3 linked regions of the Saccharomyces cerevisiae S288C genome follow. The main gene of each other region encodes a partner of the protein of the gene in region 3 in a complex. Each region holds a gene or a part of one and is shown on either strand. Other genes may lie near its edges. A codon is read from its position in the direction of its gene.

Evidence for each region. Proteins that work in one complex are often made in the same cells at the same time.
Region 1: LSM5 (region 3) and LSM2 share a complex: the UniProt entries of both Saccharomyces cerevisiae proteins name them as parts of the spliceosome U4/U6-U5 tri-snRNP complex.
Region 2: the proteins of LSM5 (region 3) and LSM6 are in contact, whole or in part, in a crystal structure (PDB 4M78), measured with the Saccharomyces cerevisiae proteins. Residues at the interface, in NP_011073.1 of Saccharomyces cerevisiae: Leu24 (codon at 729), Arg28 (codon at 717), Phe30 (codon at 711), Val35 (codon at 696), Phe37 (codon at 690), Asp38 (codon at 687), Asn42 (codon at 675), Ile44 (codon at 669), Glu50 (codon at 651), Leu52 (codon at 645), Val64 (codon at 609), Met65 (codon at 606), His67 (codon at 600), His68 (codon at 597), Gly69 (codon at 594), Arg70 (codon at 591), Met71 (codon at 588), Leu72 (codon at 585), Leu73 (codon at 582), Ser74 (codon at 579); in NP_010666.2 of Saccharomyces cerevisiae: Val11 (codon at 731), Thr12 (codon at 728), Phe15 (codon at 719), Leu16 (codon at 716), Asp18 (codon at 710), Asn25 (codon at 689), Lys27 (codon at 683), Leu33 (codon at 665), Met45 (codon at 629), Glu57 (codon at 593), Ser58 (codon at 590), Asn59 (codon at 587), Val78 (codon at 530), Met79 (codon at 527), Tyr80 (codon at 524), Ile81 (codon at 521), Ser82 (codon at 518), Glu83 (codon at 515), Gln84 (codon at 512).

What each region holds. Positions count from the first base shown.
Region 1 is NC_001134.8:168,613-171,538, reverse strand, and holds LSM2 (Sm-like protein LSM2), read right to left. Parts: upstream 917-2,926; coding exon 863-916; intron 735-862; coding exon 501-734; downstream 1-500. Other genes in the region: RRN10 (Rrn10p), read right to left, coding at 1-58; 60S ribosomal protein eL19 RPL19B, read right to left, coding at 2,163-2,730. UniProt on the Saccharomyces cerevisiae protein: Component of LSm protein complexes, which are involved in RNA processing and may function in a chaperone-like manner. Component of the cytoplasmic LSM1-LSM7 complex which is involved in mRNA degradation by activating the decapping step.
Region 2 is NC_001136.10:1,228,849-1,231,527, forward strand, and holds LSM6 (U4/U6-U5 snRNP complex subunit LSM6), read right to left. Parts: upstream 762-2,679; coding exon 501-761; downstream 1-500. Other genes in the region: ATP17 (F1F0 ATP synthase subunit f), read left to right, coding at 1-68; GTPase-activating protein RGA2, read left to right, coding at 1,319-2,679. UniProt on the Saccharomyces cerevisiae protein: Component of LSm protein complexes, which are involved in RNA processing and may function in a chaperone-like manner. Component of the cytoplasmic LSM1-LSM7 complex which is involved in mRNA degradation by activating the decapping step.
Region 3 is NC_001137.3:460,827-463,382, reverse strand, and holds LSM5 (RNA-binding protein LSM5), read right to left. Parts: upstream 799-2,556; coding exon 517-798; downstream 1-516. Other genes in the region: cohesin-loading factor complex subunit SCC4, read left to right, coding at 1-415; YER145C-A (uncharacterized protein), read left to right, coding at 560-997; high-affinity iron permease FTR1, read left to right, coding at 1,643-2,556. UniProt on the Saccharomyces cerevisiae protein: Component of LSm protein complexes, which are involved in RNA processing and may function in a chaperone-like manner. Component of the cytoplasmic LSM1-LSM7 complex which is involved in mRNA degradation by activating the decapping step.

The DNA of each region.
Region 1 (2,926 bases), on a different chromosome or scaffold from region 3:
CATGTGTTCCAAATTCCTTAATTATATTGCTGCAGGCTTCATATACATTTCTATCCATTTTCTTAGTGGGAGAGATTTAGGTTAACGTTCGAAATATAGTGCTTATGAATTTTTGTAGCGTGATATACTTCTTTAAAAACATTTACTTTTTTATTGGAGTGTTGATCTGCATTTCATGACATTCGCTTTTCCATCAAGCGCATTTAGTAAAACAAAACAAAACCTCATAATGAATTTCTTGGGATAAAATGGGGCAAAAAAAAAGAATTCCTCATCAGTCTACGTAGCTTACGCTCTGGCCAAAAAAATTTTGGATGACCACTTGACAGATATCACACCAAGTTATTTCTCCTAACGCTCGGAACCGGATAATTAATACAAACCGTTGAATCATCTTATGGCCTACATATATACATATACATATAATCTCAATATCCTAAAATGATACTCGTGTAAAAAACTAATGAGAAAAAATGCCATGAGGATAGACTGCATAATTCTTATTTTCTTTCAGTCATTACCTCCCTTCTGGTAGCGTCTTGTAGCAAATTCGTATCTACCATGTTCTTATTCAAGTAAACGTACCTGACTGTTGAACCTCTTATAAAAATATTCCTTACGGAACCCAAGTGTGGATATTTTTTTTCATCTGTGCATGATATGTTGTCTAGTTTCAGATTCAAAAATTGGTCAACTGATTGTAGTGTACCTTTTATTTCAATGTCGTTTTTTAACTGAGTGGAAACACAATAAACAGGGGTAAACAAACGTTAGTACTTGACTTTTTTCAAAAATTGATGTACGATACCCGTTAGTTTTCTTGTATCAAAGGGAATTCCGATGTAAATCATTATGAACATACCTCTACGACCACTTCTTGGTCAACTAAAGTCTTGAAAAAGGAGAAGAAAAGCATACTTGCTAGGGTGTTATCAGCGTGAGATATGTGTTCGAAAGTATTGTATTCTTTTATTGAATTCTGGATTTGTTTTCCTTATATGCCGTACTATAATTAAAGTTGCTCTGTTTTCGGTTTTATTTTTTTTGGTTCAAAACTTCCTCATTGCCTGGATTTGAAAAATGAACAACGACAATGATACAATTACAACAGCGGAAAAAAGTTTCCCGTACAAAGGATCCCTAAGTAGTTTCTTCCAACTAGTTAGGCCTCAGCCTCTATCCAAAGTAGCTATTTTTATCATTGCAGAAAACTGGTGTTTAAAACTTATTTAAAAGTAGCTTTTCTGCCGAGATGACAATATAGAGGAGAGAATAATCAGTTTTATATTTAGTGAACATATGGGCAATTCCAGTGAACGCTTAAAAGCTGGGCAAAGAAATATATAAATTTAAAGATATAATGACAAGATAGCTCAAAATAACCGGAGAGTAAAAAAAGAAATCGTAGCAAAGCACTTCGATGCTGTTTTTGGTCTTCATCAAATCTTTTCCTGCCACACAGTATTGTTTATGCCTATCTTTCTTAAAGGTACGATAAAAAGGTCACCTTTCGCTTTGATAGTGAAGCCGAACTTTTGCAAATCCAGAATAATTTTGCAAATCCAGAATAATTTTGCAGTAAAAGGATGTAGATAAGCTATCATAAACTGGTAGTGTATTAGTGAAAATTCTTGCCCCTGAAACAAGCAATACTAGTAATATCATACAATGCAGAGGGTGAGAATCGGCCAGTGGGTATACGACATGGAAGCGATACACAGGAGTGATAGTCATGAGTGTCCTAAGCGTACATGTGGCAACCAAACTCTCAATCCTGGCAGTATCATCAAAGAAATTCAGTACAAAAAATATCGTTACATCTTATTTCCCCCTATAGCAGCAAATCAATTCACTCCTGGGTGTTCTGAATATATACCAATTTTACACGATGCCATAAAGGACTAGACAAGCTACGTTGAAACAAGAACCCGCCTCCTTTCAGAACTCACTTACGGTACATTAGCGATGACTACGACTTCATTACTCTTTTTTTCAGAAAATTTTAATCAATATTCATTTATTCTACGAACAGTCTCCTTCACCTTAGTTTCTTTCTCTGCTCCTTTGAAACTATTATTGTATTTGGTACATTTTAGAGAAAATAAAACATATATAGAACAATGAGAAGGTACGTAATTTCTTAGCTAATTATTTGTAATCAATTAAGCGTCTTCCTTTAGCAAAGCGTCTCTCTTTTCAGCAACTCTTTGAGCTCTTCTGTCACGAGCAGCTCTGTTCTTCAATCTTCTAGCTTCAGCTTCTTCGTTCAAAGCCTTTTCACGTTGAGCATCAGCCTTAGCTTGAATAATGTGTTCAACCAAAGCTCTCTTGTGCTTGAAGGCGTTACCCTTGGATTCCTTGTACAAAACGTGGTACAAATGCTTGTCAATCTTACCAGCGTCACGGTACTTGGCCAATAATCTTCTCAAGACACGTAATCTTCTGATCCAGACGACTTGGGATGGTAAACGAGCTTCTCTAGTACCCTTTCTCTTACCGTAACCACTGTGACGACCTTCTCTCTTGGATTGAGCATGGGCTCTAGTTCTAGATTTAGAGTGGACAGTAACGGCCTTCTTGACGATGGTTCCGTTCTTGACCAATTTTCTAATGGCATTTCTAGAGTTGGCTTGGGCAATTTCAGAAGTTTCGTTTGGGTCTAACCAAACCTTTCTCTTACCAACACCGACAACAGAAGCGGCAAGTCTCTTTTGAGTACGCAAGTTAGCCCTGTGAAAAAAAGTTTTTGCAGATTTATTTGCATATTGATGTTAGTAAAGTTGCTTCATTTTTAAAATCCTGAAACCTAACAGTAAAGAGCATATTCGCAAAGGTTAATGAATTACTTTATCTATCAATCGAATTAACGCTTGCAGGAACAGACACGTACCATTGCTGCGATAATTCTATAGTTTGTAATAAACGC
Region 2 (2,679 bases), on a different chromosome or scaffold from region 3:
TTGCCTTTGGCTATTCCATGGAATATTATTTTCATTTGAGACATCATAAAGGTGCGGAAGAGCATTGAACGTGGAGTTTTACTTTTGTAGAAAATTCTTTATTTTAAGCCTTTTTAAACCAAACATGCAAAGAGAAGAAAAACTTTTTGGTAAATCCAAATAATTTTTGAGCGAAATTGAAAGGAGTACATAAGTGATAGAACAAAATTTCGTTGTTTTCATATGTCTATAAGGAAACTCCGTCACTTTCTGGCTCTATTCATTTTTTCTTTAGTAAAGCATAAAAATAATGAGACGGAGAGTAAACTTTACAATATATATTCATAAAAATTCATTAAAATAAAACTGTTCGATCCTATTCGATATACACACACACATATATATATATATGTATATAGATATGGGTGTGTTTGTGTGTATCCGTGCTAAACTCGCAAATGCAACTTTATGTCAAACCAACTTGCTCATTCCTACATATTAATCCATTAGAGGAGATAAGTCTATATTTTTTGTTCACTGATATACATGACCTGCGTGCCCCTCAAAAAGACATCACTATTGAACTTATTTAGAAGCTTATTGTTATTACTCTCGTAGTGTTCAGTGGCACTCGATAGTGCAACATTCATAAAACCATCAATGGATTCCAATCTTCCGCTGTAGAGTAAACCCGAGGCAAGTTTGACGTTCACTGTCTTACCAATGATATCAGAGAGAAACTCCGTAGTAACGCTACCCTCTGTAGAAGCTTTTCCGGACATCACTAATAATCTCTGCTTGTTTTGCTTATACTGTGCAATGCCATATTTTCTCGTTAATATGGCGTCTTGTGCATTATTGAATGGGTTGCTGCGACGTTGCTTATTTGGCATTGTACACGAACAGCTGCCCCCGGGTAAAATGTTTTAATAATAGAAATATCTTACATTAAACGGCTAAAAGAAAGGCCTATAGTCGTAATAACATTTATTTCCTACACATAACCCAGTTAATTAGCCACAGTGATATTCGATTTATGCCGCTTCAATTGTGCTTAAATCGTTGCATCGCTTCAGTAACTTTTAATTGTAATGATAATGCACGTCAATTTAGTTTCCCATTCGGGTAAACAGTATCAGGTCGAGATATGAAAATTGGCATTCCTTGGAGAATGTTAGCCAGAAGATCGATCAGTCGACTCCCCTATTGATTAACATTTCATCTTTGCATACTTGGCGTTTCTAATCCTTATCTTTTATTACCAAGAGTTCATTGTACTTTTAATAAAGTGAAATATAACGTAGCATCTCAAGAGCAAGGAGATTTTGATGAAAAAAATATGTCAGCTGACCCTATTAATGACCAATCGTCTTTATGTGTGAGGTGCAATAAATCAATCGCGTCTAGCCAGGTATACGAATTAGAAAGCAAAAAATGGCATGACCAGTGCTTTACATGCTACAAATGTGACAAAAAATTGAACGCAGATTCAGACTTTTTGGTTCTGGATATAGGTACATTAATTTGTTACGACTGCTCAGATAAATGTACAAATTGTGGCGATAAAATAGACGACACAGCAATTATACTGCCTTCCTCAAATGAGGCCTATTGTTCCAATTGTTTCAGATGCTGTCGGTGCAGCAACCGTATAAAGAACTTAAAGTATGCAAAGACAAAACGAGGACTATGTTGTATGGATTGTCACGAGAAATTGTTGAGAAAAAAACAACTATTACTGGAAAATCAAACAAAAAATTCATCGAAAGAAGATTTTCCCATAAAACTTCCTGAAAGATCAGTCAAAAGGCCCTTGTCACCCACCAGAATAAATGGTAAGTCAGATGTCAGTACAAACAACACCGCAATAAGTAAGAACCTTGTAAGCTCGAATGAGGATCAACAGCTCACTCCACAAGTTTTAGTATCACAAGAAAGAGATGAATCATCGTTGAATGACAATAATGATAATGATAACAGCAAGGACAGGGAGGAAACATCTTCTCACGCAAGGACGGTTTCTATTGACGACATTCTGAACTCTACTTTGGAACACGATAGTAATAGCATTGAAGAGCAGAGTTTGGTGGATAATGAGGACTACATCAACAAAATGGGTGAAGACGTAACCTATAGGCTATTAAAACCACAAAGAGCAAATCGAGATTCCATAGTGGTAAAGGATCCGAGGATCCCAAATTCGAACTCGAACGCGAATAGATTCTTTTCAATTTATGATAAAGAAGAGACAGACAAAGATGATACAGACAACAAAGAGAATGAAATCATCGTCAACACACCCAGAAATAGCACTGATAAAATTACAAGTCCTTTGAACAGCCCTATGGCTGTACAAATGAACGAAGAGGTCGAACCTCCGCATGGACTGGCATTAACTTTATCAGAAGCTACGAAAGAAAATAACAAATCATCTCAAGGTATTCAAACGTCAACTTCCAAATCTATGAATCATGTCTCCCCGATTACAAGAACCGATACCGTAGAAATGAAAACATCAACCTCTTCATCGACATTACGTTTGTCTGATAATGGAAGTTTCAGCAGGCCTCAAACAGCAGATAACTTATTGCCGCATAAAAAAGTAGCACCCTCTCCAAACAAAAAACTTTCAAGATCGTTTTCTTTGAAGTCCAAAAATTTTGTTCACAACCTGAAAAGTAAAACTTCGGAAATGCTGGA
Region 3 (2,556 bases):
GATCCTATGGCTTTTCAGCCATTTCGAGCCGTTCAGTTGGAACCCGCTGCCATGTAGTGACAAGCAGCGCGCCGAGTACGTGTCGAAGCTCCGCGAGTTCTACTCTAGCAACAAGTTCGTTGCCGGAGAAGCCGTTGCGGACAACCGCTTCAAATTGAAGAAGGCTCTGTTGCTGCAAATACTGGTAAACTACTTAGGCGGTCGAATGCTCGAACACGATCTGGGCGAGATCTATGCGATTTCAGCAAAGTGTTTCGATATGTGCCGCCAGCAGGGCGGCATGCGCAAGGTCCAATACGTGATCGGAATATGGCATTTAATGAATTGTACGGTGGCGATGCGGGGAAAAGACGTCGCTCTCACGAACGCGAAGCTGGAGGCGCTGGTTAAGCAAATCACCAGTGTCAAACAATAAACCAAAAAAAAAAAAAGAAACACTTGATTTCCTTTATCTATTTTTATACTTAATTATTTTTTTTAGATGCACTATACAAATTCGCGTTAATTTTTGCCTTTTTACAACGCCTCCGTAGGGGTCTTTTTGCCGCCTGGCACAAGGATGGCAATATTGTTGCCGCTTAAAAGCATTCTGCCATGGTGCTGCATAACTTTCTCATTTCTGCTCTCGTCCTCAGGATCGATAAGCCACTCGACAGCGTCTTCCAGTATAACGTTGACGAAGTCGTCGAAACCAACTAACGTGCCCTCGAACTCGCGGTTCGACTGCAGCACAATCAACACTTTCTGGTTAATTGTTTTATCTATGACTTCCAAAGGCAAAATCTCCGGTAGACTCATTTTGCGCGCTTCTGTGTATGCTTGTGAGTGCACGTGTATACGCTATGCTTGTTGTGAGACCATCTATCCGCCAAGGAAGCCTTTTTCGCTTTCTCTGTATTTTTTCTACTTCAATAAGAAAGCAAGTATTCTGTTTTGCTACCCGGATGCAAAGACAAAACCCGAGCATCCGGGTAATAAAAGAGCAGGGTCCGGCTGAAGGTGCCAAAAAAGACCAAAAAGGGCTATATTATCTCTCTCTTACGATTGCCTCTGGTTAAAAAATGAAATAGATAATAAAAGGGCAGCAAAGAAAAAAAAGAAGAATACAATATACGTATACGTTCTCAACAATTTTTCGTCCTGTTTTTTTCTTGACCACGGTCACTACTAACTCCTGAGACATCAGACCAACGTGTAGAAAAAAAGAAATCGGGTCCGGCACTGACACACGCTCTGCGCCAATCAACCAGGGCGCATCGAGCATTCTTTCCAGGCCAGGGTGCAGAAATACTATTATTAAGTGCGCGAATACTGCTGGTGCATTAAACGAGCGAGTACAGTGAGCCCGCCGCTGACTGCCGACTCACGCCAGGCCGCTATTTCCTTCCCCCGCCCGCGTAAGCCGTGCCGAGCACCGTCGCAGCAGTAAGAAGGTGCGCATTTCATTCTCTGCACAGCGTAGATGAATGCACCCGATTTCTAAGTTGGTGTTGCAAGGCCCGGTGGAAGCGATGGGCTGTAGTTCGACCTTGAGCTTTTAGTTATATAAAATGCTCAATGTGAGCAAAAAAATACATAACACGACGGATTGTACGTTGTCGAAATCTTCTCTCAGCAGGTCATCACACATATACTTCCCGCCATGCCTAACAAAGTGTTTAACGTGGCCGTTTTCTTCGTTGTGTTCAGAGAGTGCTTGGAAGCAGTGATTGTTATTTCCGTGCTGCTATCGTTTTTGAAACAGGCAATCGGGGAACATGACCGGGCGCTGTACCGTAAATTAAGGATTCAGGTTTGGGTCGGTGTGTTACTCGGGTTCATCATTTGTCTGGCCATCGGTGCAGGTTTCATCGGTGCGTACTATTCGCTGCAGAAGGATATTTTCGGAAGCGCGGAAGACTTGTGGGAAGGTATCTTTTGTATGATTGCGACGATAATGATCTCGATGATGGGTATTCCTATGTTGAGAATGAATAAGATGCAGAGTAAGTGGAGAGTGAAGATTGCGCGGTCGTTGGTGGAGATTCCTCACCGTAAGAGAGACTATTTCAAGATTGGGTTCTTGAGTAGAAGATATGCTATGTTCCTTTTGCCGTTTATTACTGTCTTGAGAGAAGGTTTGGAAGCTGTTGTGTTCGTTGCCGGTGCAGGTATTACCACACAGGGCTCGCACGCCTCTGCTTACCCATTGCCCGTTGTGGTTGGTTTGATATGTGGTGGTCTTGTTGGGTATTTGTTGTACTATGGTGCTTCGAAATCCTCGCTGCAGATTTTCTTGATTTTGTCTACTTCGATCTTGTACCTGATCTCCGCCGGTCTTTTCTCTCGTGGTGCGTGGTACTTTGAAAATTACAGATTCAACCTTGCCAGTGGTGGTGATGCTTCCGAAGGCGGTGATGGTAATGGGTCTTATAACATCAGAAAGGCCGTTTACCATGTCAATTGTTGCAACCCAGAACTGGACAATGGGTGGGATATCTTCAATGCTTTGCTTGGATGGCAGAACACCGGCTACTTGTCATCCATGCTTTGTTACAACATCTATTGGTTGGTTCT